Canis lupus familiaris: one gene and its partners. The protein of the gene in region 1 interacts with the protein of each later gene in a pairwise test. Links are inferred from orthologs where the notes say so. Each region holds a gene or a part of one and is shown in the gene's direction. Other genes may lie near its edges. The genes, in order: EIF4ENIF1, EIF4E2, DTX2 and EIF4E.

The links.
Region 2: the proteins of EIF4ENIF1 (region 1) and EIF4E2 interact in binary tests that used the Homo sapiens proteins (3 or more experiments, as listed by UniProt). The two-hybrid records come from large-scale screens. The link is inferred for Canis lupus familiaris from reciprocal best matches to the Homo sapiens genes EIF4ENIF1 and EIF4E2.
Region 3: the proteins of EIF4ENIF1 (region 1) and DTX2 interact in binary tests that used the Homo sapiens proteins (3 or more experiments, as listed by UniProt). The two-hybrid records come from large-scale screens. The link is inferred for Canis lupus familiaris from reciprocal best matches to the Homo sapiens genes EIF4ENIF1 and DTX2.
Region 4: the proteins of EIF4ENIF1 (region 1) and EIF4E interact in binary tests that used the Homo sapiens proteins (3 or more experiments, as listed by UniProt). The link is inferred for Canis lupus familiaris from reciprocal best matches to the Homo sapiens genes EIF4ENIF1 and EIF4E.

What each region holds. Positions count from the first base shown.
Region 1 is NC_049247.1:24,786,446-24,793,937, reverse strand, and holds part of EIF4ENIF1 (eukaryotic translation initiation factor 4E transporter), read left to right. Parts: intron 1-3,275; coding exon 3,276-3,562; intron 3,563-3,846; coding exon 3,847-4,048; intron 4,049-7,492. UniProt on the Homo sapiens protein: EIF4E-binding protein that regulates translation and stability of mRNAs in processing bodies (P-bodies). Plays a key role in P-bodies to coordinate the storage of translationally inactive mRNAs in the cytoplasm and prevent their degradation.
Region 2 is NC_049246.1:44,368,146-44,376,117, forward strand, and holds the start of EIF4E2 (eukaryotic translation initiation factor 4E type 2), read left to right. Parts: upstream 1-1,475; 5' UTR 1,476-1,508; coding exon 1,509-1,528; intron 1,529-7,553; coding exon 7,554-7,668; intron 7,669-7,972. UniProt on the Homo sapiens protein: Recognizes and binds the 7-methylguanosine-containing mRNA cap during an early step in the initiation. Acts as a repressor of translation initiation.
Region 3 is NC_049227.1:7,535,326-7,542,817, forward strand, and holds part of DTX2 (probable E3 ubiquitin-protein ligase DTX2), read left to right. Parts: intron 1-879; exon of another isoform or gene 880-1,111; coding exon of another isoform or gene 1,112-1,585; intron 1,586-2,577; coding exon 2,578-3,214; intron 3,215-7,492. Other genes in the region: 40S ribosomal protein S23-like, read right to left, coding at 1,112-1,585. UniProt on the Homo sapiens protein: Regulator of Notch signaling, a signaling pathway involved in cell-cell communications that regulates a broad spectrum of cell-fate determinations.
Region 4 is NC_049253.1:18,831,927-18,839,418, forward strand, and holds part of EIF4E (eukaryotic translation initiation factor 4E), read left to right. Parts: intron 1-2,812; coding exon 2,813-2,919; intron 2,920-7,492. UniProt on the Homo sapiens protein: Acts in the cytoplasm to initiate and regulate protein synthesis and is required in the nucleus for export of a subset of mRNAs from the nucleus to the cytoplasm which promotes processes such as RNA capping, processing and splicing.

The sequences.
Region 1 (7,492 bases):
AAATAAATAACAATTCTTAATAGTGGATTATGGTCTGAATACATGGTTTGGATATGGTTTGAAACTGGGCTCAAATTTGGTTTTCCATACTTTTTCCCATTTCAGCCAGAAAAGAGGGGTGCTTCGGTGGCTCAGTCAGTTGTCTGCCTTCAGCTCAGGTCATAATGCCAGGGTCCTGGGATTGAGCCTCACATCAGGCTCTCTGCCCAGCTGGGAGCCTGCTTCTCCCTCTCCCTCTGCTTCTCTGCCTACTTAACTTGTGTGTGCCCATATGTGCTGTCTCCCTCTCTCTGTGTCAAGTAAAAATCTTAAAAAAAAAAAAAAAAAAAAAAAAGAAAATGTGAAGTGGAGGACTAGCAGTATAGAAGTTAGTCAAGGAACTTATTGCAAGAACTTTTTTTGAGATAAGAGGAAAACCCATTATAAAACAAATTTGGGACTGGGCAAAGAAGATAGGGGTGACTCTAGTTTGAGATAGAAGATCCTTCTATACAATCTTACAGTACACTTAGTGCAGTGATATCCCTCGAGCAGAGAATTTATTTTAGGAGAATCATTAAAGATGTGCTCAGAGATTTTATTAAATGATGAAAACTAGTAAGCAAACTCAATGTCTAGGGGTAGAAATGGGTTACGTAGACTTTGGTATGTCCATATGTAGAAATATTAAGTTGTTCAGCTGTAAATTAAGAACTCGCCCATACTGTGTCTTGTTTTTGGAAAACATGGAGACATGGTGTGAAAATTCTGGAAAAGTACATAGCATTTTAGTTACTGTTTCTGGTGAAAAGTTTGAAGGAATTTTCTCACTTGGACTTCAGTTTTCTGGTTTTTCTAGGAAAGATTTTTGTGTGGTGACAGGTTTGATTTTCTCATATCTTTATTGAAGTATAATTGACAATAGACTACACATAATGTGTACCATTTGATGTTTTGATAGATGCATACACCTCTGGAACCATTACCATGATCAAAGCAATAAGCTTTTCCATCACCCCCAAAAGTTCCCTGGTACCTCTGAATCCCTCCTCATACTCCCCCCACACACACACCCCCGCCCCCATTCGCCTGCAGGCAAGCATTGATTTGCCTTCTGTCGCTACAAATTAGTTTACATTTACTAGAATTCAATATAAGTGGAATCCTACAGTGTGCACCCTTTGGGTGGCTTCTTTCACTCAGTAGTTTTAAGATTTGGTCATGATGTTGGTTGTATAAATAGTTCATTTTTATTGCCTAGTAGTAGTCTGTTTTATGAATTTGCCACGGATTATCCATGTATCCTGTTAATGGACATTTGGGTTGTTTCTAGGTTTTTTTTTTTTTTTTTTTTTTAATTTTTATTTACTTATGATAGTCACAGAGAGAGAGAGAGGCAGAGACACAGGCCGAGGGAGAAGCAGGCTCCATGCACCGGGAGCCCGACGTGGGACTCGATCCCGGGTCTCCAGGATCGCGCCCTGGGCCAAAGGCAGGCGCTAAACCGCTATGCCACCCAGGGATCCCTGTTTCTAGCTTTTGACTACTAACCGAAACTGCTATGAACATTCATGTATAAGTCTCTATATGGGTGTATACTTTCTTTTCTCTTGAGTTAATACCTAAGGGTAGAATGGCCGAGTCCTATAGTAAATGTATGTTTAACGTTTTGAGAAACTGCCAAGCTGTTTTCCAACATGGTTATACCACTTTACATTTCCACCAGCAATGTATGAACAATGTATGAAGGTTCACTCATTCTGCATCCTTGTCACCACTTGGAATGATCAGTCTGAGATTTTAGCCAATCTATTAGATGTGTAATAGTATCATGGTTTAATTTGCATTTCCCTAATGGCTAATAATGTTGAGTATCTTTTCTTATGCCTGTTTGCCATCCATATATCCTCTAGTCTCTGTTCAAAGCATTTGTCCACTTTTTTTTTTTTTTAAAGATTTTATTTATTCAAGAGAGACACAGAAAGGCAGAGACATAGCAAAGGGAGAAGCAGGCTTCCCATGGGGAGCTTGATCAATCCCATGACTCCGGGATCACAACCTAAGCCAAATGCAGATGCTCAACCATTGAGCCAACCAAGTGTCCCTGTCCATTTTTTAATCCGATTGTGTTTTAATTTTGAAGAGTTTTTATATGTACCTGATACAGGTCCTTCCTTTATCAGATATACTTTGAAATATTTTCTTCCAGTCTATGGCTTGTTTTTGCATTCTTAGAAGAGTATCTTTCAGGGGCACCTGGGTGCTCAGTAATTTAAGCATCTGCCTATGGCTCAGGTCATGAATGATCTCAGGGTACAGGGATGGAGCCCTGCATGACATTCCCTGCTCAGCAGAGAGTCTGCTTCTCTTTCTCCCTCTACTGTTTTCCTTCCTTATGCGTGCATGTGCACGCGCTTGCTCTGTTTCTGTCTCTCTCTCTCTGTCTCTCTCTCTCTGTCTCTCTCTCTCTGTCAAATAAAATCCTTGAAAGATCTCATTTTGCTTTAGATTTTATTTTGCTTTAGATCTTATTTTGCTTTTTAAAGAAGTTTTAAATTTTGATCAAGCCCAGTTTTTTCATTTAATATATTGTGGTCATGGTGTTGTGCCTAAGAAAACTCTGCTTAACCCAGTGTCACAAAGATTTCCTCCTTTATTTTCTTCTAGAAGTTTTATATCATTTAGATCTATGATCTATTTTGCATTTTGTATGTGGTACCAGGTATCAATTCAAGTTCATTTTCTTTTTTTTTTTAAGATTTTATTTATTTATTCATGAGAGACACAGAGAGGCGAGGGTAAGCAGGCTCCTTGTGGGGAGCCTGATGTGTGGGACTCAATCCCAGGACCCCAGGATCACAACCTGAGCCAAAGGCAGACACTCAAACACTGAGCCACCCAGGGGCTCCTCAAGTTCATTTTCTTGCATGTGGATATCCACCTGTTAAATACCATTTTTTGAAGAAACACTTCAGCTTTTTAGGTAGTTATTTTTTCCAAATACACCTACTATAATTGGCAAATTATTTTTCTAGTAATTATGTAGATAAGGCCTTAGTCAAAAATAAAGGGATTATGGAGACCAATCATGGAAAATCATTTATTATGAAGTACATTTATTGCTCCAGAGAGAAAAAGCAAAAGACTCAGTCTTACTTAAATATGCACATTATTCTGTACCTGTTTCAGTGGTGACTCTTCCAAAACCCTCATCACCACTAATCATGGACATACTACCAAGAAAGGAAAAGTACCCTGCTGGTTTGCTTAACTTTCTCTTTCTGGTGTTTTTCCAGATCCACGAGAGCGCGTGAAAGAAGATGACTTAGATGTTGTTCTCAGCCCACAAAGACGAAGCTTTGGAGGGGGCTGCCACGTGACGGCTGCTGTTAGTTCCCGGCACTCAGGAAGCCCGTTGGAAAAAGAAAATGATGGGCTTCGCCTGCTTGGCGGACGAAGGATTGGCAGTGGGAGGATAATCTCTGCTCGGACCTTTGAGAAGGATCACCGTCTTAGTGATAAGGAGCTGCGGGACTTGAGAGACAGAGACCGAGAGAGAGACTATAAGGACAAGCGATTCAGGGTTTGTCTTCTAGATCTTTTCACCCCACATGTGCTTAGGGACTTCATATGCACTTCATTTCTAGCAGGTTATTTTGAGATGCCAGATGAACACAGCCCATTCTTCAGCCAGATAAAGAGGCTCAGAGTGCTGGGGGCAGGGAGGGGCTCCATGTCTGCAGCATAGTATCTGCAGTATCAATCGTAGTATCAATTGACCATTACCTAACACATCAAGACCTTGACTCAGGTTGAAACGCCTTAAGTAGAACCTGTTTTTTTATCTTGCATTGTGTACTTTTCCAGAGGGAGTTTGGGGATAGTAAGCGTGTCTTTGGTGAGCGAAGAAGAAATGATTCCTACACAGAAGAAGAACCAGAATGGTTCTCAGCTGGACCCACAAGTCAATCTGAAACCATTGAGCTGACTGGCTTTGATGATAAGATACTGGAAGAAGATCACAAGGGGAGAAAGAGAACAAGGCGAAGGACGGCCTCCGTGAAGGAAGGTAAGCAAAAACTTTGAGAGGGAAGCTTACTCTTCTAATATGAGATGTGCTTCTAATTGTCTTAATTATGCACTTAGGAATAACTGTACCAATTGCTAGGAAGTGTCAGGTGAATTTACTAGGTGTGTATTACATCCTCAACTTGTTCTGCCTGCAGTGCTAAACAGAGAAGTCTCACGTTGCCCTGTAAGAGCACTGTGTACACAAAAGGGTTCCCTAGAGATCAGAAAAGTGGTAGAAATAGTGAAGGAGTCTCATTAATTGAGAACTGGGCACAGTGCTAAGTGTTTTGGCTGTATAATCCTTCTAACAGCCCTGTGAGGCAGGTACTTTTGTGGTTGAGTGAATGGAGACTCAAGAGGCTTGAGGGACTTGTCTGTGGACACTGAGGAAGTAATTAGTCAAGTTGGGAGTTGAACAAGTCCTTTTGTACTTCAGAGCCCACCTTCTTCACCGTGGTTTTAGAACTTCCTACATGTGTTGTTTGTGACTTGGCTTCTAGACTCCGTTAGCTATGAGATGTGGTGGGATATCTCCTTATCAAACTGAAAAAGCCAGAGCTACTATGTGAGAGGTGACTGATACAGAGCTGGGGGCCCACTACTCATTTTCAGGGCAGTAGCCTGGCTTTAGGGTGGCCAGTCTTGGGCTGATGATCCTGAGAAGTGGTAGTGAAGAGCCAGGCTGGCTAGCGTGAGTTTGAGTATTGGAGTTCTGCTTACCAAATGTATAATCTTTGCTAAAACTCTTGATAGGGGGCTTGGTTCTTTGTAAGGTGAAGATAGTGCCTACTTCATAATATCAAGGGTTACTTTTAGCATTAAAGTTCAGATGTGAACATGAGAGCTTAGTTTCTTGTGGGCACTTCTTGAGTAAATTCTAGTTCTCTTCAGCTTTCAGATTTAGTTGGAAAACACCTTTTGGCCGATACTAGTCAACAAAAGTAGAAAACTGTTTTAATATAAGTGTTTAATCAGTGCCACCTTAAAATTATGAGGCTAAAATATATTTAAGCAGAAAGTGAGCTAGTGGAATTTATTTAGGGAAAAGAGAGAAATCACTTGCCCCCCCCCCTTTTTTTTTTTAAGTATCTTTAAGACACAATAGACATCATCATTATCTTTATGCTGTTACACATTGTTCCCTGGGGTGATGCAGAAGAGTGATGGGTAACTTGCGAGATATTTCTCTTAAATAGCATTTGAGACATGCCTTTGTGTCATTCTCAGGCTAAAGCAGTACCAGCCAAGCATGGTCTTTTCACATAATGATAAAGATAAGGCTGCTGCTGGGTATGTGAGGGGAAGGCACATGTTTTTCTCAACTGAGGTGTAATCTAAATTTCACCCATTCATATTATATCAACAAGTGGATGAGCCAAATGGTGTGATAATGTCCCCTCCTTATCTTATACACACAGAGACAGACCTGGAAAGAGGGGACAACCTAAGACCCTGTCACATGGATTTCATGGCAGAGTCTCAAGTGAAATCCAGGGGCCCTAGCTCACTCACCCCAATAGTTAATTGCAGACGGTCCACAGGCTATTTTAGCAAGTGTATTTAGGATAAACCAGTATCCCATTATTTCATCTTGGCTACAAGAATGAAAGGGAGGGGGGGGGGATGAGTGCTTTTTAGTCCATTTTTGTATCTGTATTCTAACTTTCAATGGAATTTTTTTTTTTTTTTTTTTAAGAGCGAGTGGGGCCAGGACAAGGGGCAGAGTCAGAGAATCTCAAGTAGACACCCCGCCAAGCATGGAGCCCAACTCAGGGCTTGATCTCACAACCCCAAGATCATGACCTGAGCCGAAATCAAAGCGTTAGACGCTTAACCTACTGAACTACCCAAGCACCCCTCTGTGGAATTTTTTTATGTAGCCATTCTCTGCAGGTACATCCTAGTGCTGAGAGTATAGCAGTAAACAAAGCAAACCTATTCCTTTCCTGTATGATTTTAAGAACGATGTGTAATGAACTACTCACTCTACATGGGGCCCAGTGCTAGGTGATGTATAAATGGTAATAAAACAATTTGAATATGCATTAACACATGTAACCAGGGAAAAAAAGAAGTCAGATATGGTTAAAACCCTCCATTGATTGAAAAGAACATTTTAGGAGTGCCTAGGTGGCTCAGTCAGTTAAGTGTCTGACTCTTGATTTTTGGCTGAGGTCATAATCTCAGGGTTGTGAAATCGTGCCCTGTGTTGGGCATGGAGCCTGCTTAAGATTCTCTCTCTCTCCCTTTGCCCCTCCTTGCACAGCTCGCATGTTTTCGGTCTTAAAAAAAAAAAAAAAAAAAATTGTGTTCTCTCTAATGAAAGTATGTGGGCCTTCTGAACGTGATAAAACTTCCCCTTAGTTCTCTTTCCTGGGTCTCTACCTTTTGAGTGTATTATCATAAATGGCCAGTTGTGTTTGTCTGCCAGTACACATCCCTACCCACTTAGACCCATTCTCAGTTGACAGGCCCCCATCTGCTTTCCAGAGCTTGACAGTGGCATAAAATTGCATATAGAACACTGCTACAGCTTGCAAAAGCTATTTATCTGTTGAGATGTTCCACATTAACACAAAATAAGAGGAATAGAAGATATATTAAAGTTTCTTTTGCAAATGTATGAGCCAAATACAGACCCTCATTTCCACCTTTCATTCTTAAGTTGGGACCCAAAACAGCAGCAAAATGTTCCTCATCAGTTTAAGGTGGGCAGGCAGCTTCAGCCAGGTAAAGTGGGTCAGGGAGAAACAGTGTTCTAGTGGACAAGAATACACACTGGGCATTGATCAGGCTATTGAAATGTTCATTTTTCCAGGACTCTGTTTCTTTGTAAAGTGAGGCTACTATCTCCACCAAAGCAGTCATTTTAGTTTAAATGTCAGTCTTTACTCAGCCATTAGAAATGACAATTACCCATCATTTGCTTCAACGTGGATGGAACTGGATGGAGGGTATTATGCTGAGTGAAATAAGTCAATCGGAGAAGGACAAACATTATATGTTCTCATTCATTTGGGGAATATAAATAATAGTGAAAGGGAATAGAAGGGAAGGGAGAAGAAATGGGTAGTAAATATCAGAAAGGGACATATCAGAACATAAAGACTCCTAACTCTGGGAAACGAACTAGGGGTGGTGGAAGGGGAGGAGGGTGGTGGGTGGGGGTGAATGGGTGACGGGCACTGAGGGGGGCACTTGACGGGATGAGCACTGGGTGTTATTCTGTATGTTGGCAAATTGAACACCAATAAAAAATTTATTATTTATAAATAAATAAATAAATAAATAAATAAATAAATAAATAAATAAACAAACGTAAATGTCAGTCTTTAAGGAATAGTATCTGCTTCTATTTGGCAGTAAGCATGTGCTAACCCAATGGAGAGACTGCTGATTGCCTTGTCCGTGGCTTACAAAGTTTGTCTTACTGGTTGCCCTA
Region 2 (7,972 bases), on another chromosome or scaffold:
AAGAGAGAGGCAGAGACACAGGCAGGCTCCACGCAGGGAGCCCGGCGTGGGACTCGATCCCAGGTCTCCAGGATCACACCCCAGGCTGCAGGCAGTGCCAAACCGCTGCGCCACTGGGGCTGAATCTAAATATTTAAAATCTTAAAAAAAAAAAAAAAAAAAAGAACACTGGTGGTTAAATAAAGTTTGGAATGCAGAATTCCCAACCCAATTTTAGACACTCCCAAGAAAGATTCGGTGGCCTGGAAAACAGACCCCTCTTCCTTCTCTTCTCAAAGGGCGGCGGAGCATTTGCACTGGTCTCAAAGGATGCTTAAGACAAGGAGGAGCTGGGCAGAGAGGCTGGGAGGTGATGGGCTGGGCTTTCCCTTCCGGCAGGAGATTCTGGATCCACTTAGAAAACAAGATGCCCAGCTGAGGTCTTCCTGGCGGGAGAGGCAAGGCCCGGCTTTGAGAATACAGCTGGGGCCCGAGTTCTGTTGGTGAGGAGAGAACCCGAGCAGGTCATTTGTGCCCTCTGAGCCTCTGTTTCTTCATCTGCAAATATGGGTTCGGATTTCCGCTTCCTACCTATCCACCCCCATCAGAGGATCAAAGGTGCGGGTGACAGTGAATCAAAAATGTGCATAAGGGGCAGTCCCGGTGGCGTGCGCCTGCAGCCCCGGGTGTGATCCTGGAGACCCGGGATCGAGTCCCACGTCGGGCTCCCTGCGTGGAGCCTGCTTCTCCCTCTGCCTGTGTCTCTGCCCCCCTCTCTCTGAACAAATAAATAAGTCTTTAAAAAAAATGTGCCTAAGACCTGACAATGGGACATCGTGGGGGCGGGGGGGCTGGTAATAACCGCCTTCCCCAAGCACAGGGGTGCTGGCTTGGGGGCTCCACCAGCAGCAGGTTCGCGTCCTTAACTCCCGTGCGCGCCGCCCCTGTGTCCCCGGAGCAGAGGCTTCGGATCCGGGAGGCGCTCGCTCCGAGCCTGGCGGGCCCATCTGGGGTTCCGGTGAGCTTCGCACTAACTGTGTCACCTGGCGTCGGTCTCTCCACATCTCCGACCGCCTCGGGGGGCGCGATGAGCTCCTTCGCTCCCCCGCACAGGTCAGCAAGACGGAAGACTCCGCGCGGGCGGCTGCGTCCGGCGCCGGACACCGGCGGTCCGGTTCTAGCCACACGGCGACCCGAAGGGGCGTGGCCGGGACCCAGGAGGAAACAGCCTCGGGCAGGTGAGGAGCGAGTCCAGGACGGTGCAGCCGCCCCCCGGGGGGTGGGGGTGTGGAGTCGGGGCGCCCCCTCGGACGTGCGGCGGGGACCCAGGCAGCCTCCGCGCAGCCGCCGCGCAGCCGCCCGGGGCCGGCGTCCCGGGATACCCGCCCCGCACCGGACTAGCGCGCAGACGTTCCGCTGCGCCGCGCGCAGCCGGAAGTGGCCGGGCCCTAAACTGGGGGGCGGGGGGGGGGAAACCCGGCGGAGCGGAAGTCACTCCGTGAGGCAGTGGCGACGGCGGCGGTGAGAGGATGAACAACAAGTTCGACGCGTGAGTGGCGCGTGGCCGCCCCGCGGGGCCCCTTCCCCCAGCCGTTCCCCCCGCGCCCGCCTCCACGGGGGCTGGCAGCGGCGAAACTCCCCGGCGCCGTCCTGCGGCCTGGGCTTGGGCTGCGGGCCTTCGCGGCCCGGGCGGCCGGCGGGGGAGAAGGGGGGCTGGGGGGGGAGGCGTCATGCAGGGGTGCGGAGCGGGGTACGGCCCCAGGGCGACGCGCGGGGTCCCGGGAGGGGTGGCCGCGCCGCCCGGAAGGAGATTTTTGGACGCCCCGCCCCGGTGGGTGCGGGTTGCCGGCGGCGCGGAGGGGCGGGGACGGCGGCGACGGCGGCGGTTTTGGGGTGTTGGCGCAGCCCGGCCGCCCTGCCTCCGGACCCGGCGGGGGCTCCACGCACACGCTCTCCCGCCCGGGCAGCTCGCCTCGCCCCTCTGAGTCCGGGTTCTCCTCTGCAGAGTGGGGACGGTGACAGCCCGGGCCGGAGAGTGGTGAGGATGCAGTGAGGTAATGTGGCCGTTGGCGCCTGCAGGCGGCTCAGTTACGGAATGCTCCCGGCCTTCGCGAGGCTCCTTCCTGCTTCCTTTCTCCTCCCCCTTCCCCCCCACCCTCCCCGCTCCAGCACGCTCCGCAGGAGCTGCCCCTGTTCTGGTCCCCCGAGCACCCCCCTGTCATTGCCCCCGTTTCCACCTCCCCAGTTCCAGCAGCATCGTTTGGGGGCGCAAAAAAAAAAAAAAAAAAAAAGGAAATGCAGAATTATTTCTTTGCACGTTTCCCTCTAGCGATTGTGTCTTGAGGCAGGTTATGTGCTTCTAGTAAGCATAGTTGATCTCTAGGGACCTAGATTCCCAGGTCCAGACCCACCAGTTTACCGCTTCTATGCCCGTGGAAGAGTCACCCACCCATTGTTAACGTAAAGCACGTTAGCGGTTGGGGCCCTGCTGCTGCCCTGGTGTGTGAGGATCAAATCGCGTTCAGCAAGTGCTTAAAGGGACTTTGTAAATTGCTAATAGGGAGGAATGTAAAGTGGCATCACTGTTTAGGTTGTGACCTGCTGCTGATGGGAAATTGTTTTTTTTTTGGAGTTTTTTTGTGTGCCCCCCCCCCCCCCGCCCCCCAGTACAATGAGTGCTGGTTTGCACTTTCGGGAGTCCTGGATTTCAGCGCTCTAGGCAGCTCCTCTGGAATGTGTTCCTGGTTGCTGAGAAGTCTCTGGGACTTGGAAAAAGTCTTTGGCTCAACGTTCCCCCAGCCTGCTGCTTAGCTGAGCCCATCTCAATAGGAACAGCCACACTTCCCACCACCCCCCCCCCCGCCATTTGCACCCCTTATATCTTAAATCTTTGCAACACCAAATTCCAGATCTAAGTCCTCCCTCAGTAGAGCTTTCTGTAAATGCTATACCTCTTCCTCCACTGAATTGAACAGATCAACATTGCATCTTAGGAAGGCACTTTATGGGTCAGCTAAGCCGAGTCTTGCCCATATCATTTGGGGATCTGCGGTAAGCTAATTTAAGAATGATAGTAACAGGGGATCCCTGGGTGGCGCAGCGGTTTGGCGCCTGCCTTTGGCCCAGGGCGCGATCCTGGAGACCCGGGATCGAATCCCACGTCGGGCTCCTGGTGCATGGAGCCTGCTTCTCCCTCTGCCTGTGTCTCTGCCTCTCTTTCTCTCTGTGTGACTATCATAAATAAATAAAAAATTAAAAAAAAAAAAGAATGATAGTAACAGGTTTCATAGGAATCTTGGTAGATACTTTTCATATGTTATTTCTACTGCTAACAATTCTGCTAAGGGGATCATGTTACCTCCTTTTATAGATAGGAAAATGAGGCCCTCTGAGGTTAAGTAACTTGCACACGAAAACAGGAAGGTGCACGTAGCAGGATTCAAACCCCGGTTTGTTTAACCTTGGTTCAAGTAACTCTTGACAAAAATTAACCTGGGTCATTTTTAATTCGTTATAATTATTAACTATGCCTTATAATGACCCAGAATTTTTTAACATCTCCTAGGTATGCAGTTAAAAAAACAACAACAAAGCTCTCATTTATTTGAAATTAGCAATTAGAGACCACACTCCTGCCCCTAGTTTTTATTTTTCATGTAACAAGTTTGTAGGGTTTTTTTTTTTAAGTTTGTTTATTTAAATAATCTCTACACTCAGCATGGGACTCGAACCCACAACCCTGAGAACAAGAGTTCCTCTGACTGAGCCAGCCAGGTTCCCCAAAAGTCTGCAGTTTTTAGACGTTTTAGTTGTTTGGCTTCTGTACTCTTTACCACGTGGTTCCTAAGGACTGGTTCCAGTTTGCCAGTATCCTAAAAGTCCAGTGCCTAGAGCTGGGTACTGTAGTCTAATCTGATCAGCCCAGTTTAAAGAAGAGCTCTAACCTCCTGCATGGGCTCGATTTCTGAGAGTGTAATCTAGGATTATAATTGCACCCCACCCCCTACATCTATCCAGTCAGTTAGCTACCACTGTCATTGACCCTGTTGATGTGTGAAACCTTAGGATGATTTCACTATTCTGCAGTCCCAGACTGTGATTACCTTAGTTTTCAGATCTAGATGCCATACTTGATTTTGTTACTGTTCTCTCTTTGCTAGTTTTTGGCCCTTTCTTACAATATTGGCCGAACCACCTGTTGGCTCCCATCCTATTCTGCCTTGTATTGCTTTGATTTTAGAAGTGCATTCATTAAACATGTTTGTTGTCTGCCTCGGTCTCATGCTGGGCATGTAAAGATGAATTAATCTAAGTTCCTATCCACAAGGAATTGGTCTACTTAGAGAGCAGTGTGAGGATAAACCTGGGCAGAGGTTTGGTGAGTTGACTTGGAGCCACTCAGTCTGGATAGCCTTAGAGATGCTAATTGCCCTCCTGAGTCTGGAGCACTGATTTTTAGTCCTGATTGTATCTTGGCTCAAATCCAGCTTCAAGCTGGAAGAGTAGCCTCTGGAAGACAGGATGCAAGTGATTTGCTTTAAGTATAGGCTTAGAGGGCAGGGTTAGCTCCACCCTCAAGAAATAACACATTAGAATTTCCTTTTATCATCTCTGAAGGGAGTCAGGAAGTGTGGTCCAGGAACCACAGTAGCACTCTCTTCTCAGATATAATTATTTTTGCTATTTTTCTGTTTCCTAATCATGAATAGCAGCAAAGAAAGGAACATGTGCTTTTCTTAGTGCTAGTAAAATGAGAGATGTGGGATGACTGCCTTTCTTCAAGATGTAAAGGGAAGGGACCCCAGAAGACTATCGTGGAGGCTGGGAGGTAAGAAGAGAGGGAAATGGTTTGAGTCCTGAGATATGCCCTAAAGAAGAGAACGAGGGCTGTCTTGGGCCTATTCAGTATAAAAAACCATTTGTTTGGGAGCTGATAAATTAGGCATAACCTTATAGCTGAGACAAGTACAAACACTGATATGATGAGGTTCAGAAGAGGGGAACCTGATCCAGCCTAGGGAGAGATTAGGAAATGCTTCTAAGAGAAAGTGGCCCTTATCCTGAGTCCTAGAGGACAATTTAAGTAGGGGAAGAGAGGCTCTCCAACGAGAGACCAGACGATGAGCATAACAGAGGGAGGAGAGATCAAGAAGCTGCAAGTAAGTTGATAACATGAGAGTGGAGGTGTTTGTTGGGACCAAGCAGGAGGTGATACTGGCACATACACACAGAGCAGGACCTTTGTAACCAAGCTGAGGCCTGAGTATGTATACCTTATCTCCTCAGTCAGGTGCTTGGGGACAGGCAGTAGCATCTGATACAGTAAGTGGCTTGGTAAATATGGGACTTGGTGCTATACAGGCTCCTTTAGGAAAGTACATCAAACCAACTTGAGTTTAATAAGGGGAAAGGAGTATCATAAATGCAGATAACATTCTCCCAGAAGTCTCCTAGGTCTTACCGAGTCAGTGAGGTCGCAGCATCATAGACAAAGCCCCTTTTCTCTCTGCTTTCTCTGCTCCATTCCCTTTCTCCCTCCTGGCTTTCTTTTCTCTTGTTCACTTTTTCCATTATGGCTTTTTTCATATGGGACCCATATGATTGCCCCAGCTCTTGAATCTCTGATCTTTCATCTCCTGAATGAAAGGCCAAGGAAGAAATGTAGTCATAATTTGAGCAAGACCACAAGGCACCAGTTATTGGCCAGGATGGACTGCCCTTAGTTCAGGTGCCCTTCATAGTCCTGTTGTGAGCAGGAAGGTAGGGGATAGGGTCACTTGGGGCATGATGCACCTGAATGTATCCTACAGGTAGAGCTGTGAAATGGGCAGAGGAGGTACCTCAATACATGGCTAGTTTGTGCATTCTAATATTTATTGAGTGCTTTTTATGTGTGTGGCATGGGAAATTTATGGACAAAAGAAATGCAAAATGCTTTGCAACGTGTTTCTGTAGGTATGTAAGATAATGTGTATGTTATCATTTGAGTATTTCTAGTACCTTTCTTGAGAATTACCTAATTCTGTTTGACTAGATAGTCCTTAGGGCCAGAGGTAATTTTGGAGAAGATCCATGATAAGCTAATGGTCCAGCTCTAAACTAAATGGCATTCTTATGTATTTGTGAAGTCATCACCTGCTTATCTTTCTGTCTAAATCCAGTGAGCTTTATATGTTACCTGAAAGCCTTAGGATACTTTCACTGCTTCTAGGAGGGTAGCACCTACTGTGCATTTGACCAATCTTACCAGGCGAAAAGACATTCATTCCTTCTTTCAGTCATTTCTTTTTCTTTTCACTAAACATTGATTCAACATCTTGTGCTACACGTTAGGGCGGCATCTTCTTGTCCTTGGTGCTGAAGGCACAAAGATTTATATTAGACTGTTCTAAGAGATCCCTCCACTTAATAGTAAAAACAGACATGGGAAGAATGTCACCTTGGGCTTAGAGGTAGTGTTTGCAGATAGCACAGCTGTGGGACTATAGGTTGCTTTGGGAGATGGGGAGGGAAAGAAGATTTCAGTAGGCAGGAGTCAGATTCTAGAGGATCTTAAATTTCATTGTATTTTATCCTGCAGGGTGGTCATCCAAAGACAGGGGACGGTTAATGGTTTTAGGCATGGAAGTTAAATGACTAGATTGAATTTATTAATTAAAGATTTTTCAAATTTATTTTAGTGTGTGCGAGGCAGTGGGGAGGGCAAGAGGAAGAGAGAATCTCAAGCAGACTCTGCTGAGCATGGAGTCCAATGCAGGGCTGGACCTCACAACCTTAAAATCAGGACCCTGAGATCAACTACTTGAGCTGAAACCAAGAGTCAGATACTTAACCTACTGCACCACCCAGGTGCCCTCATATTTACATTTAGAAAGATGCTCGTGGCTATGTGGAGGATGGATAGAGGGTGGAGAGGATTTGTGTCAGGGAGACCATTTAGGAATTTATTGCAATAACAGAGGACAAAGAAGAGGGCCTGAGCTAAAGCAGTGGCAATGGGGAAGGATAGGAGAGATGGTTAGAAGAGTTGAGAGAGATAGGTAAATTTTTAAACTTCATTTGAAATGCCAGAGCAGTTATACAATCCAGAAACTCTTCTCATTATTGACTCGTTATTTTTGGCAAAGAAAACCGTCCCTTAAACTGTTTGCTGGGGATCCCTGGGTGGCTCAGAGGTTTGGTGCCTGCCTTTGGCCCAGGGCGTGGTCCTGGAGGCCCAGGATCAAGTCCCACATCGGGCTCCCTGCGTGGAGCCTGCTTCTCCCTCTGCCTGTGTCTCTGCCTCTCTCTCATGAATAAATAAATAAAATCTTAAAAAAAAATAAAATAAAATAAACTGTTTGCCTTTTGCTTCTTTACCTGTTAGAAAACTGGAAGACTGGGGGTTTTTTTGGAATTCCTCCTAACTGCCTTTCTGCATTCCTTGCCCTTTCCTCATCTCAGGTACATCTCATTGCCTGTATTTTGAGTGACTTGGGGTTGATTATAATGTAGTTCCATTGACCTGGTGGTTCTGTTAGGTAAGCAAATATCAGCTCAGTCATGGGCTAACATTGTTTTGCCTTCCCATTCAGATTGAAAGATGATGACAGTGGGGACCATGATCAGAATGAAGAAAACAGCACACAGAAAGATGGTGAGAAGGAAAAAACGGAACGAGACAAAAGTCAGGGCAGCAGTAAGAGGAAGGTGAGTTTTGTGCTATATAGATAGAGTTGCCCTTGGACTTGAGATTTGGTTATCTTGTGGAATCTGTTATGTGAAAGACACCGGATTAACTTGATGGCACCCTATTTAGGGATATATGCTTTTTTTTTTTTTTTTTAAGAGTTTATTTATTTGAGAGAGAATGTGCATGTGCAGATGTGTGAGCAGGGGGAGGAGCAGAGGGAGAGGGACAAACAGACTCTGAGCTGAGTGTGGAGTCCGAATTGGGGCTCTATCTCATGACCCTGAGATCATGACCTGAGCTGTAATCAAGAGTCAGGCACCC
Region 3 (7,492 bases), on another chromosome or scaffold:
TCTGCGTGACCTAGTTACGCAGGTAATTTCACTCTCTTATTATGCTCATGTGTAGGTTTTTTGTGGGTTTTGATCAATATTACTGAGAATGGGATCACCAGCTTCCTCCCAGAGCCATGCCCTGTCCTTCTCACCCAGGGGTTCTCAACTGGGGGTGATTTTGTCCCCCAGGACGTTTGACAGTGTTGGAGATTTTTTTTTTAAAGATTTTATTTATTTATTCATGAGAGACACACAGAGAGGCAGAGACACACAGGTAGAGAGGGAACCAGGCTCCATGCAGGGAACCTGATGTGGGACTTGATCCCAGGATCCTGGAATCAGGTCCTCAGCCAAAGGCAGACGCCCAAACAATGAGCCACCCAGGCATCCCAGTCACAGTGAGTGTTAATCAGGGAATGGAACTGTAGTGTTGTGAGAGGACGAAGTTTGAACTTGAGTGGCCAGGTCACAAGGAAGGAACGAAGACAGGCCCGAGGGAGGGGCAGGTTGTCCCTTGAAGGGACTTTGACTTTTATTCTGAAAGGAGGAACCTTAGGAGGATTTGGGCAGAGGAGTGCCATAATCTGATTTGGAGGTGAGGAGTATCCCTGTGGCTGCCATGGAGGCAAGGGTGGAGATCAGGAGACCAGTAGAAGTGAATTTGATGATCATCTTTTGGCAAGTGCTATTGGAAACATGGCCCAAATTATTTCTCTTCTTTTGCTCTGTAATCTTCAGGTTTGGTTTATTAAGAATATAAGCTAACCACTGGGTGTTTCCCAATAGTTGCTACTTGAGAAGTCAAAGGGATTGTTACACCCAGGTAAGGGACTTATGTAAAAAATGAATAATGAGCTTTATAAAGTTTTAGAGATATAAGAAATACTCATGGCCTAATATAAGAAAATAGTCTGGAAAATTTTTCAGTGTGATTGTCAGCTTCCTAAGGGTAGATGCCTAGGAGACCAGATGGGAGGAATGCATGGTGATACAAGCTGTTTGGTTAGTCTTGATGGTTGGATTATAGATGGTTTAATTTTATATATATATTTTTCAGTTTATTGTTTTTTTTTAAGTGAGGCTACCTATTTTTCATCATTAGAAATATATTTTTTTGGTAAATGAAAATTTACTGTTGTGTTTTCACCATCAAAACTGAGGATCTTCGTCTTTCCTTCTTGCCTTCGTATAAGACCAAAAGAGAGGCATTGTCTACTTTGACAACCTTAATGCCAATTCCAGGAATGTCATCCACAGCATGACCTTTGTGACCAAATCCAGCAACCAGAACCTCATAATTTTCCTCAATAAAATTCAAACAACCATAAAGAGTACAAAGGCAGTGATTTTTTTTTTTTTTCCCATTCTTGATCAGCTGGACCCCAGCACACTTCCTGATGGCAGAATTTGGCTGCTTGACTTCAACCCCTACTTTTTCCAGCACAATTCCTTTTGCATGGGAAATGCCTCCAAAAGGGTTGGTCTTCAGGGCTGTGCCCAAATAGGCTTTCTTGTACTGTTTATCATGCCACTTCTGATCTTGTCCATGGCTGCAGAGCTTCCTGGTGGGACAGAGACACTTCCCTGAGCAAAAAAGAGGCATCATTAGAAGTATTTTGAAAAATCCTTGGGACGCCTGGGTGGCTCAGTGGTTGAGCATCTGCCTTCAGCTCAGATCCCACAGTTCCAGGATCGAGTCTCACATCAGCCTCCCTGCATGGAGCCTGCTTCTCCCTCTGCCTCTGTCTCTGCCTGCCTCTCTCTGTGTCTCTCATGAATAAATAAAATCTTAAAAGAAAAGAAAAGAAAAAGCCTGGAGTCTGAGCCACAGCTGTTCTTTTTTTTTTTTTTTAAAGATTTTATTTATTCATTCATGAGAGACACACACACACAGAGGGAGAGAGAGAGCGAGAGAGAGAGACAGGCAGGCAGAGGGAGAGGCAGGCTCCATGCAGGGAGCCTGATGTGGGACTCGATCCCAGGACTCCAGAATGACGCCCTGGGCCGAAGGCAGGCACTTAACCGCTGAGCCACCCAGGGATTCCCCACAGCTGTTCTTTGACCTAAGTTCCTAGCATCCCCCACTCCTGCCAAGGAGCACAGATCCCCATCTGCCATGTAGATCCCTTTAGGCCAAGTTTGTTTGTTTCCTTCCTTCTTTCCTTCCTTCCTTCCTTCCTCCCTCCCTCCCTCCCTCCCTCCCTCCCTTTCGTTTGAGAGAGAGCGCATATGAGTGAGCATGAGCTGGGGCAGAGGGAGAGGGAAGAAGCAGGCTCTCCACTGAGCAGGGAGCCCAACTCCAGACTGATTCCAGGACTCTGAGATCATGACCTGCGCCAAAGACAGATGCTCAACTGACTGAGCCACCACGCGCTCCCCCAGTTTCTTTACCTAGAGAGAGTTTTCTGCCCTTTCTACCCAAAATTTGGGAAGAATAACTGGTGCCAGCCTTTTGTTCAAATAACAGCATGACTCTTGTCTATTCATACTGTGACCATGCTGGCTTATTTTGTTTGTAGAAAAAAATTTTTTACTCTTTTTGTTTTGGGGGGCTAGGAGATTCACCATTCATGTGTCCTCCTCCTCTTCGAACAGGCACCATGCGGGCTGTGCGCAGGCACCTGTTCCCCCAGCAGTCGGCCCCCGGCCGGGGCATTGTCTGGGAGTGGCTGAGTGACGACGGTTCCTGGACGGCTTATGAAGCCAGTGTCTGTGACTTCCTGGAGCAACAGATGGCCAGGGGCAACCAACTTGTGGACTTGGCTCCCCTGGGGTACAACTATACCGTCAACTATGCCACTCACACGCAGACCAACAAAACTTCAAGCTTCTGCCGCAGTGTGCGGCGCCAAGCAGGAACCCCGTACCCAGTGACCACCATCATTGCTCCACCAGGCCACACGGGAGTTGCCTGCTCTTGCCATCAGTGCCTCAGTGGTGGTGGAACTGGCCCGGTGTCAGGCCGCTACCGCCACTCCATGACCAACCTCCCTGCGTACCCTGTCCCTCAGCCCCCCCACAGGACCGCCATTGTCTTTGGGGCCCACCAGGCCTTTGCTCCATACAGCAAGCCCTCCCTCTCTGGGGCTAGGTCTGCACCCAGGCTGAACACCGCCAACCCCTGGGGTGGGGCGCCCCCCTCCCTGGGGAGCCAGCCCCTCTACCGCTCCAGCCTCTCCCACCTGGGACTGCAGCACCAGCCCCCAGGATTGTCCACTGCCAGTGGAGCCAGGTATCTCTTGTTATTGAGGGTCATTTTGTCCACCTGTGCGCCATGTCAGCAGGCTTGGCTTTCTGCTTTGAGTTAGCTGGGAAGATGGCCCAAATACCTGCAGGCCTGGGCCCTGCCTCCGTGGACGTCCATGCTGTGTCGTCTCCTTTGCATGTGCCACCTGGCGCCTGCATGCTGGCCTTCCTCAGTCTGGGTTCATGGAGTCTAGGTGATCTCTGGTACCTGAGTGCTGATAGTTGCCTTCACTCCTGAGAGGCTCTCTGTAAAGCATATAAAGGCCTTTTAGCTATACCTGTGTGCCACATAGCTCTGCCATGTACCTGAGGACATCTCATAGACAACTCCTCTGTGCCAGGCACCGAAGACACAGGTGTGGAAGGTTCAGTCCCCTCCCACTCATCCAGGGGAAGGCTGTGAGCCCAGCTTTGGTGCTTAACAGTTGAGAGAGCAAGATGCTGAGTATGTGGCAGGTGGCAACAGGTAGCAGGATGGCTTCCACGGTGGCACAATCGGCCCAGTGTCTTGTAGAGCTCTCTGCACCTGGGGGAGGATGGGGAAATGAGCCTGGACTCCACCTGGACCAGAGGCCACCGAAAAGTTGGGAGAGCCCTGGAGTGGCCAGTGGGGGGGTGGTTGTTCCAGGTGGTTCCTGGAGACCTGTCACTGAAGAGTGGCTCCTCGGGGAGCATTATTGAATGTGCTGGACTTGGGGGACAGCCAGAGAGTTCTGAATGGCAGCCCGGATGGGGGCTGGTTCCCAAGAGAGTGACTTGTGGGCCCCTAGCGGACCCGTGGCTCCCCCACCCCCCATGGGGGCAGCATCCCGTTGGGCTAGGCTGACATCAGCCTCTAGCATTTTTTTAAAGGTGGGTTTCAGAGGCCCTTGCTGGCAACTGTAAGACAGTGATGACTGCCCTTCACCAAGTGCACATAGCTAGGTTGTGGATGAGTTCAGTAATCCTCTTCATGGCCATCTGGTAGATGGTGTCCTCAGCTGCCGGGTGAGCACATGGAGGTTGGCAGGACAGCCAGCAAGTGGCATGGCTGGGATTAAACCCAGGCCCCAGAGCAGGCTGTGAGGGACCCATGGGGAGATCTTGAAGCTCTCTTACAGGTGGAGTGAGGGGGAAGACCGAGACTTCCTGAAGGATAGCGTGGAGGTATCCGTAGATGGGAGGGGCATCTTCTCCTTTAGGGACTGGGGGTGTGTGAACTGAGGTCTTTCTGGGAATGGGAGCTTTCACTTGGCCATCTCCCTGGATTTTCACTTAGGCATTAGCAAGCAGGGCTCTGTGTTATGTCAGCCCCACCCAGTGTTCCGTGAGGCCCTCTCTGATATGTGGGTCAGAATCCTTCAGAGAAAAGTATGCTCTCTGCCAGCCCGGAGTGGTTATCAGCAGGGCTAGAGCTGCTTCTACTAGGTTGGTTTTGCTGAGCCTCCTGGGGCTTCTTAAGTTCTTACAAATTATTTTGGGGCACATTTCTAGATAGTTCTATAGCTGGGATTCTGGGATTGAGCCAGGTGACTTAATAGGCTTTGTTGCTTTCTTCTGGCACGGGGCTCCCATTGGTCTCCCCTGATATTTCTCTGGCATCCCTCCCTCCCCAGCCTGAGGGCCCGAGAGACTGCCAAAGTGAGCCCCCCTGGCACAGGCCAGGCAAGTTTCAGAAGGGACGGTGGCTGGGCCACATGGCCTCACCTGTGCTGCTGGCCATGCGTGTTGCTGCTTGCCCTCCTTGCCTTGGTTGTAAGCCAAGAAGGGAACCAGGCCAACCGGCTAGGTTAGTTGAAACCGCCTCAAAGGGGCCTGCCTCCTGAAGTGGGTGTTCATCTCTAGCTCCTCCAGCTTTTCAGGACCTGGGAGAGGCACAGTTCACTCACATGGCCATATCCCTCCCTGTTTTGAAAAACAGGGTTTCTCAATGTCTTATTTGTCGGGTGGCCCTCATTCAGTTAACCTGTTTCTTATGGAACGGAGGGGGCTTAATGAATACCTGGCCTCTCGACCCAGCCGAACAAGGACAGTCGAAAACACTTGACAACTCTGTCTCCCTAGGGGCTGTGGTTTGATTCTCCAAGCTGAACAAATGTTGATTGCATTAGGTGGACATTCCCCAGAGGGCAGCGGGGCTGGGGGCACCATGGGCTAGGGAAGCCTGAGAACCAGCCTTATTTACTGGTAGCCACTGGAAAGAACAGGCAGAGGAGCAAAATCAAAATTTGTGGAACACGTGTGGTTTTTATTTTGGAAACCATGTGGTTTCAGATCGCCTCTTGCTCAATCCGGATAAAACCTTGGCTGACAGATTTCCCTGTGCTCTGGGAGGCTTTCTGAGCAGGCAGTGTCGCCTTCAGCTGCCGGGGTTTAAGAAAATTTCCTGGGCAGCCTGGGTGGATCAGGGGTTTAGCACCACCTTCAGCCCAAGGTGTGATCCTGGGGACCCGGGATCAGGTTCCGCATAGGGCTCCCTGCATGGAGCCAGCTTCTCCCTCTGCCAGTGTCTCTGCCTCTCTGCCTCTCTGTGTCTCTCATGAATGAATAAATAAAATCTTAAAAAAAAAAAAATTCCTGGTCGCTGAACTTTATCCTTTCAGCACCAAGACTTGTGTTTTAATGATGTTGGATAGAAAACCTTCCGAAATGTGTCATGTACACCCTTGTCTTCTTTAGTAGAGGGTGTGGTGGCTTAATTAACATCTTGATGACTTGAGGTGGTGATCATGACCGGCTGTCTGTTGTAGCTTTGGCGTGGCTAAGCCTTGGGGTGGCTTGCCCTTGCACTAAGTGGCCCTAGGATGTGGCTTTCCCAGTTTGTTTCCATCTGCTGTGTTCTCGCTGCCGCTCTTCCCCCAGGCTCTGCAAACACTCCCTCCTGCAGTCCACCTGGCTTGCATGCTTGGAGTCCCGGGTCCAAGGGGGGTACCTTTCCTCTGACTGGCTATAGGCCCTTGGGTCAGCTCTGTTCTCTTTCTATGTCTATTCTCTCCCCTCTTGAGATTAAGGAGTTGGGCCGGGAAGCCAGAATTTTCCCTTTGCTCTAATTTTGTGGTTTTTGGGATTTCCGTGGGGGGCCTTGCAGGAAGATGCATGACAGCCCTTCAGCTTTCCTGTGTCCCCTTGACTCCTCTGAGAACAGGGAAACAGTGAACATTTGTATTGGGCTGGAGATTGAGCCTCACAACCATCCTGGGGGCCTTTTGGAATTGCTCTCATCTTACACATAGAGAAATTGATCAGAAAGGGGACTCAACCTGGCCAAGGGCATGCAGGTTTAAGGTGGAGTGGCGCTGGAAGTGGGGTCTCCAGACCCCACATCTAACGCTCCTTGTACTGCACCTGCTGTCAGGGCTTGCTGGTCAGTGCTGGCTTGCTGGCCTGTGGGGAGCGGGTGGGAGGCTTTTGTGCTTGCCTGGGACTGCCACATCCTGCCTTCATAGAAGACTGGAAGTCCTTCTGTCTCCTGTTCTGAGCTCCATTTGGAAGCTCCTGGAGAGAGTCCCAGACAGGAAAGCCAGGTTGGGCCTAGTAGGTAGAACCAGGAAGAGGGGAGGTCAGGAGCGTTGCTGGAGGCAGTGACTGGGAGGAATTGTCAGAGAAGGGTGCTCTGTTGGGTAAATAGTGCCCATGCTGGGGACCATTCTGCCCGTCTGGGCCCTTTGAGGATGGTGGAGGGGGAGTTGGTGACCTCCGAGGTCCTGTCCACCCCAAGAGTCCCCATGTTTGGAATTCCTGGGTTCTTGTCCTGCTCCTATCACTGCAGGGATACCTACAGAGTAGCTACTGGGATGAATGATAGGGGAAGTGGCAACACTGTGAGACCCATAGAACTTAGTCACAGTTCCTGGCCCCAGTTCTAGAATGAGTGTCCAGTGGTAGCCTTAATGCCTGCTTTCTGCTCTAGTTCTTGGGGGTGGAACCTGAGGCCTTCTCCCTCACATACATGCCTATTCCCAGCAAAGGAAGATCCCACTTCTTGGACCCTCTCTGAGCCAGTGATGAGTAGCCCACTAACTTGGGGGAATTGTAGAGCCAAGCTTCAGCTTCCTGACTTCCTGGCTGAGGGCTCAAGTTCAGTGTCCTCTGTAGAACTGGCTTGGGAGATGAAGAATCCCTGAAAGGGCTCTGTCCTTCACTTCTAGAACCTGAGAATTGCAAAGACCATCAGAGATTATCTACTTTCCTTTAAAAAATGAAAATGGAGAAACAGGCTCAGGAAGGGGTGTGCTGGTTGTTCCACATTGAACAATTTAGAGGGGCCAAAACCTTAGCCCAGGTG
Region 4 (7,492 bases), on another chromosome or scaffold:
AATTCTTTTTTTTTTTTTTAAGATTTTATTTATTCATGAGAAACACAGAGAGAGAGAGAGAGAGAGAGAGAGAGGAGAGAGGCAGAGACACAAGCAGAGGGAGTAGCAGGCTCCATGCAGGGAACCCGACGTGGGACTCGATCCTGGGTCTCCAGGATTGGGCCCTGGGCTGAAGGTGGCACTAAACCGCTGAGCCACCTGGGCTGCCCCATTCAGTGAATTCTCTAAAAAAAAAAAAAAAATTAATTTATTTGAGAGAGGGAGAGCATGAACAGAAGGGACCAGGGGGCGAGAGAATCTCTAGCAGACTCTGTGCTGAACATGAAGCCTCACGTGGGCCTCAATCTCATGACAGGAGATCGCAACCTGAGCTGAAACTGAGTGTCAGATGGTTTAACCAACTGTGCCACCCAGGTGCCTCATTCAGTGAACTCTTAATTTCAGGCATTATACTTGGCAGTTCCATAATGTCTTTTTTTTTTTTTAAGATTTGTTTTCTTTTCAAATACTCCCCATTTTTTTTAATCCTTTTTTCTGTCTTCATTTTACTATAGTAATCTTGGTTATTTTGTCTTTGCTGTTTTACCATAGTAATCATAATTATAAACTCCCATTACTTTGGTCGTGTCTGGATGTTTTTCTGTGAATAGGTTAATTTCTTGATCATTAGTGACTTAAAATTCTTTGTATGTCTAGTAATGTTTGTTTGGTAGGTAAATAACATTCATAGAGACAGAGGATTATGTTCTCTTCTTCTTTTTTTTTTTTTTTTTTTTTTTTTTAATTTATGATAGTCACAGAGAGAGAGAGGCAGAGACACAGGCAGAGGGAGAAGCAGGCTCCATGCACCGGGAGCCCGACGTGGGATGCGATCCCGGGTCTCCAGGATCGCGCCCCGGGCCAAAGGCAGGCGCCAAACCGCTGCGCCAGCCAGGGATCCCGATTATGTTCTCTTCTGAAGAATGTAGAGTTTGGTTCTTGGAGGCACTTAATTTATAGGTAGATTACCTTGATCCTGTCAATGATTGGTTTTAGGATTTGTTAGGCAGATATATTTCCCCTGATTCCTAGGGCATGGCCTTTCTAGGATTTCATCTGAAAGCTGAGGATTTTCACTCACCTACTGTGTCTGGATCTGAACCATTTTCCCTGTGGTATTCAGCCTCTGAAGTCTTGGCTCAGCTGTTCTCTTCTAGACTATCCAGAGTTGAACTCTGAACATCGCAGCTTAGGAACTAGCCTAGCCAAGGACCTCTGAGGGATTTTTATATAGAGTTTTGAGGTTCACACCTCTGGTAGTACCCTGTCGCCCTAGGCCCACTTAGTCCCTAACTTCCCTATTTTCTTGATCCTTTGAGACTGCCTCTGGAAACTGTCATTAATTTTAAGCTGGTGGGGTAAGGAATGGCATTTGGTAATTCTATGAAGTTGTAAATTGACTCTGATGGAAATATGCTGGTAAAAAATGTTTGGTGATTTTAAGACCTTGACTACTCTGTAAATTTTAGGGTCTTAATTGCTTTGTAAACATTTAAATTTACTACTTAAGAAATCAAGACAATAAGTTCCTATGGAGTATAGCACTTTGCTCATTGGCATTATAGTTGTGAGCAAAATCAAGACATAGCCTCTGCTGTGAGTGACTATTCATTGGCTAGTAGATATTAGTTCCTACATATGTCATGTTGTTAAGAAAAATCTATTTTGTAAAATGAATATTTACCAACTATCCACTAAGAGATCTTTTAGATCCTTCATCTCTGATTTACATAATCTTGTTAATGTGAGCATATATTGTTTTGCTGGTTCAATTTAAATTCAGTCCCCAGACTCTTGTTGCAGTGCCTTTTTTTGAAAAAAATCAGCTTTTGTTTTAGCTTCTGGTGCCTTTCTTTGGCGTTCAGTTTTGTTGACAGTAATTTATAATTGAGTGAAGAGCTACATGGAGCAATGTGGAGAACACAGATTATCCCCAAGCTCCTTTTTTCCCTGATTTTTTATTATTGTTTTTATTTTTTAAAGATTTTTATTGATTTAATCATGAGAGACAGAGAGAGAGAGAGAGGCAGAGACCCAGGCAGAGGGAGAAGCAGGCTCCATGCAGGGAGCCTGACATGGGACTCGATCCCAGGTCTCCAGGATCATGCCCTGGGCTGAAGGCAGGCACTCAACCGCTGAGCCACCCTGGCATCCGTTTCCCTGATTTTTTAGATGACTATATTAATTAGGTCTAATCTAGAAAAAGATTTAGGTTCAAGCCAACATTGAGCTTTTTTTGCCTCGGGCCAATTGAAAATAACAGAACTTTTAAGTTAACCAGATGTTACAATAGTATAACATGAAGGAAGGACCTGTGTAATATTGGTTTGATCAATTTATAAAGTTTTCTTTTGCCATTGTAATATAGTTCTTAAACTCACCAAATTTAAGCTATACTTCCCCAATCTCCAAACCATGCATAGTACGTTAATAGTATGTTAGGGAAGACTGGGAAGACTGCTGGTTATCTTAACTTTGTTGCATGGTGTCTAACAATCTTTCTGATACCAAAATGTGTAAGTGACAGAAACTGCATATAATATTGTTATTATATTTTTATTGAGAAATCTTCTGTTCCTAGTGAAGAAATGCTAGAATGGAGAGTCTGGTGCTTTTCTTAGTTCTAGCGGTTGGTCTGTGGTCTATTTTATGAAATGCTTTTATAATTCTCCTTAAAAGAAGAATATTGGCAGTATTGGTTCGAATTGCTTTAAAGTATTGTTATCATAGTTATGTTAAAAATTTTAAAATAATTTTTATTATTTTCCATTAGGAAACCACCCCTACTCCTAATCCCCCGCCTACAGAAGAAGAGAAAACAGAATCTAATCAGGAGGTTGCTAACCCAGAACACTATATTAAACATCCTTTACAGAACAGGTAAGCCTTCTGACACATATGTTCTTCTGACTTAGACAATGAAGTAAATGGTGAAATAGGACAGGTTTGGAGGAAACAGGGTGAGACTAGTTTTAGATATATTGGGTTGAGGATTCCATTTTCACTTGGATAACCTGTTTATAGCAGGCAGTTTTATGTGTGAGTCGAGCTCAGAAAAGAGCACTGGTTGAGACATTGGGTTTGAAATTCGTCAGTAATTGGTAGTAAGTGAAATTATAGTAGTAAATGAATCGTCTTTAAAGTGAACTTGACTCAAGACAGAGGCTTGGAATACCAACTTATAAGGGATTTTTTTGGAGGGATAATGCCTACGAAGGGTTTAGACACATAAACTATAAGTTGGGACAGAGTCGTGGTCAGGGAAACAAAGAAAATGTGGGGGTTTTTTGTTTTTGTTTTCTAAAGGTTTTATTTATTCTTGAGAGAGAGAGAGAGAGAGAGAGGCAGAGACATAGGCAGAGGGAGAAGCAGGCTTCCTGTGGGGAGCCTGATGTGGGACTCAACCCCGGGATCCCGGGATCACGACCTAAGCTGAAGACAGACACTCAACCATTGAGCCACCCAGGCATCCTGAAAATGGTTTGTTTTAAGGACAGGTGATTAATAGCATATGTTCCATAAAAAGATCAGATATTCATTGGATTAAACAATTTAAAAAGGCTCAAAATTGCCATTGGATTGAATGATAAAGTCCTAGCTAATGTAGGGGAAAGTTTAGTAGAATGTAGATGATGGAAAAAGATTGGAATAGCTTGTAGAGAGTGAATATAAATTATTATATAGAGCAAGAATAAACAACTTGAAGTTGGGCTGTAAAGGAGAAAAAGCTAGGGGATGTGGCATCTGCAGGTTAGTTGGTTTTTATTTAAGACAAGTTAGGCGAGGAAAAGAGAGATTAAGGTGAGTTAAGCTTCGGGGTACATAGCTGGTTCAATTGGTAAGAGCATGCGACTCTTGATCTCAGGGGTTATAATGTAAATTCAAGCTCCATGCTGTATGTAGCGCCTACTTTAAAAAAAAAAGATGAATTAAACTTCATAGTTACAGTAGTTGAATAGTAGTAGCTCATATAGTTTTCTCAACTCTACCTCACACCTTCCCAGTGTTTGTGTTTTTATGGTTTATATGATGAAAATTAATATAAATGCACTGAGAGCTGATTGTGGGGGAAGAAAAATGCAATGCAGAAATATTGTAAGAATCTGGAAGAAAGTAAATTAGAATGAATTTGAGGATATTTAAGTAATTCAGTTCCTTTCATTTCCCTACCCCAAGACTTTTTTTTACCCTATCTACTTTACAGATCCCATAGGCCTGTGTATGTTTCACAGACATCCCTTATTTTATTGCATTTTGCAGATACTGCATTTTTTACAAATTGAAGGTTTGTGGCAACCTTCATTGAGCAAAAGTATTGGTGCCATTTTTCCAACATTTGCTGTTTTGTGTCTCTGTGTCACATTTTGGCAATTCTTGGCAAAATCTCAAACTTTTTCATCATGTTTGTTAGAGTGATCTGTAATCAGTGATCTTTGATGTAACTGTTATATTTGTTTTGGGGCACTATGAACTGTGCTCATATAAAGTTACAAACTTAATAAATATTGTGTGTTCTAATTGCCTTACTCTCACTAGTTGTTCCCCGTCTCTCTCCCTCACCTTGGGTCTCCCTGTTCCTGAGACACAACAATACTGAAATTAGGCCAATTAATAACCCTACAGTGGCTTCTAAATATTCAAGTGAAAGGAGGAGTCCTACATGTCTCACTTTAAATAAAAAACTAGAAATGATTAAGCTTAGTGAGGAAGGCATGTTAAAAGCCGAGATGGGGCAAAAACTAAGCCTCTTGTACTAAACAGCCAAAAGTTCCTGAAGGAAATTAAAAGTACTACTCCAGTGAGCACATGAATAATAAGAAAGTGAAACAGCCTTATGCTGATATGGAGAAAGTTTGAGTTGTCTGGATAGAAGATCAAACCAACCACAACATTCCCTTAAGCCAAAACCTAAACCAGAAGAAGGACTTAATTAATTCTCCTCAATTCTCTGAAGGCTAAGAGAGGTGAGGAAGCTGCCAAAGAAAAGTTTAAAGTTAACATAGGTTTGGCTCATGAGGTTTAAGGAAAGAAATGGTCTCTGTAACATAAAAGTGCAAGGTGAAGCAATAAGTGGTTACAGCAAGTTACCCTGAAGATTTTGCTAATAAGTTCATTATGAAGATGGCTACACTAAACAACAGGTTTTCAATGTAGATGAAACAGCCTTCTAGTGAAGGAAGATGCCCATTTGGGTGGACTTTCATAGTGAGAGAGGAGTCAGTGCCTAAGTGTTTAGAGGACAGGCTGACTTTTTTTTTTTTTTTTTTTTTTTTTTTTAAGATTTTTGTTTATTTATTCATGAAAGACACACACACACACACACACACAGAGGCAGAGGGAGAAGCAGGCTCCATGCTAGGAGCCTGATGTGGGACTCGATCCCGGGTCTCCAGGATCACACCCCGGGCCAAAGGCAGGCACCAAACCGCTGAGCCACCCAGGGATCCCTAGGCTGACTTTTATGTTAGGGTCTAATATAATAGCTGGTGACTTTAGGTTGAAGCCAGTGTTTATTTACCATACTGAAAATCCTAGAGTCCTAAGGAATTATGCTCATCTGCTCTCCTATGCTTTATAAATGGAACAGTAAAGTCTGGATGACAGAACTTTGGTTTACAAAATGGTTTCCTGAATATTAATCCCACTGTTAAAACCTGCTCAGAACAAAAGGATGCCTTTCAAAATACACTGCTCATTGACAATATACTCGGTCACCCAAGAGTTCTGATGTACCAAATGCATGTTGTTTTCATGCCTGCTAATACAACATCTGTTTTTGCAGTTTATATACAACATTTGGAAAAGGAGTAATTTTGACTTTGAAGTCTTACTATTTAAGGAATACGTTTTGTAGGACTCTAGCTGCCATAGATAGAGATTATTCTGATTGATCTGGCCAAAGTACATTGAAAACCTTCTGGAGGGGCAGCCCCGGTGGCTCAGCAGTTTAGTGCCGCCTTCGACCTGGGGCATGATCCTGGAGACCTGGGATCAAGACCCTCATCAGACTCCCTGCGTGGAGCCTGCTTCTCCCTCTGCCTGTGTCTCTGCCTCTCTCTCTCTCTCTGTGTGTCTCCCATGAATAAATAAATAAAATCTAAAAATAAAAAAATAAAATAAAAAACCTGGAAAGGATTCACCATTCTAAGATGCCTTTACGAACATTTGTGATTCATGGGTAGAGGTCAGAATACTGACATGAAACAGGTGTTTGGAAGATTCCAGCTCTTCTGGATGAATTTTGAGGGCTTCAAGACTTTGGTGGAAGAAGTAACTGCAGATGTGGTAAAAATAGCAAAGAATAGAACTAGAAGTGGAGCCTGAAGACATGACTGAATTGCTGCAACTCATAAAACTTGAATGGGTGAGGAGTTGCTTGTTATGGATGAGCAAAGAAAATGGTTTCTTGAGATGGAACCTACTCCTTATGAAGATGCTGTGAAGATTGTTGAAATGACAACAAAGGATTTAGAACATTACACAAACTTAGTTGATAAAGCAGCAGCAGTTTGAGAGAATTTGAGAGAAATTTTGTGGATAAAATATCCAAGCAGCATTGTGTGCTACAGAGAAATCCTTTGTGAAAGGAAAAGTCGGTTAATAGAGCAAACTTCATTGTTTAACCACAGCCACCCCATGCTTCAGTAACCAACCCCTGATCAGCCAGCAGCCAGCATAATCAAAGCAGGACGTTCCACCAGCAAAAAGATTATGACCCACTAAAAGCTCAGATGATGGTTTTTAGTAATAAAGTATATTTAAATTAAGGTTATAGTAGTTTTTTAGACATCATCATCATCATCATCATCATCATAATAACAATAATGTTACTCTTACTAGACAAATATAGTGTAAACATAACTTCTCCGTGCAGTGGGAAACGAAAAACTTCAATAGTCTGACTTACATTATTGTGATAACTTGCTTTATTATGGTGATTTGCATTTGCATCTACAGTATCTCTGATGTATACCTATAGTGAAACTATAAATATCTAAAAAATACATTTCACTTTATGGCCTGAATATTTTTTTATCATTTCTTCATTATCATGGTAGATTTATCAAAATAAAAGTCCAAACATGTTTTATGTAGTTTTTTTCTTTTCTTCTTTTTTTAAAGATTTTACTTATTTATTCATGAGAAACACAGAAAGAGAGAGAGAGAGAGGCACAGAGACACAGGCAGAGCAGAGAGCAACAGGCTCCATGCAAGGAGCCTGATGTGGGACTTGATCCCAAGACCCTTATCTTAGTGGGTATATAGACTTTTGTTTCCTATTTACAGTGTTGTAATTTATGCATATTTATGTTTTTTGTACACTTGTGTGAATATAAGATAAAATTTCAGATTTCTTAGGTTAAAGACTATGCTCTAATAACCTTAGTAGATAATTGCCAAATTATCCTCCTTTTTTTTATCAGCTTAGGCTGTTAGCAGTTTGAGAGTTCCT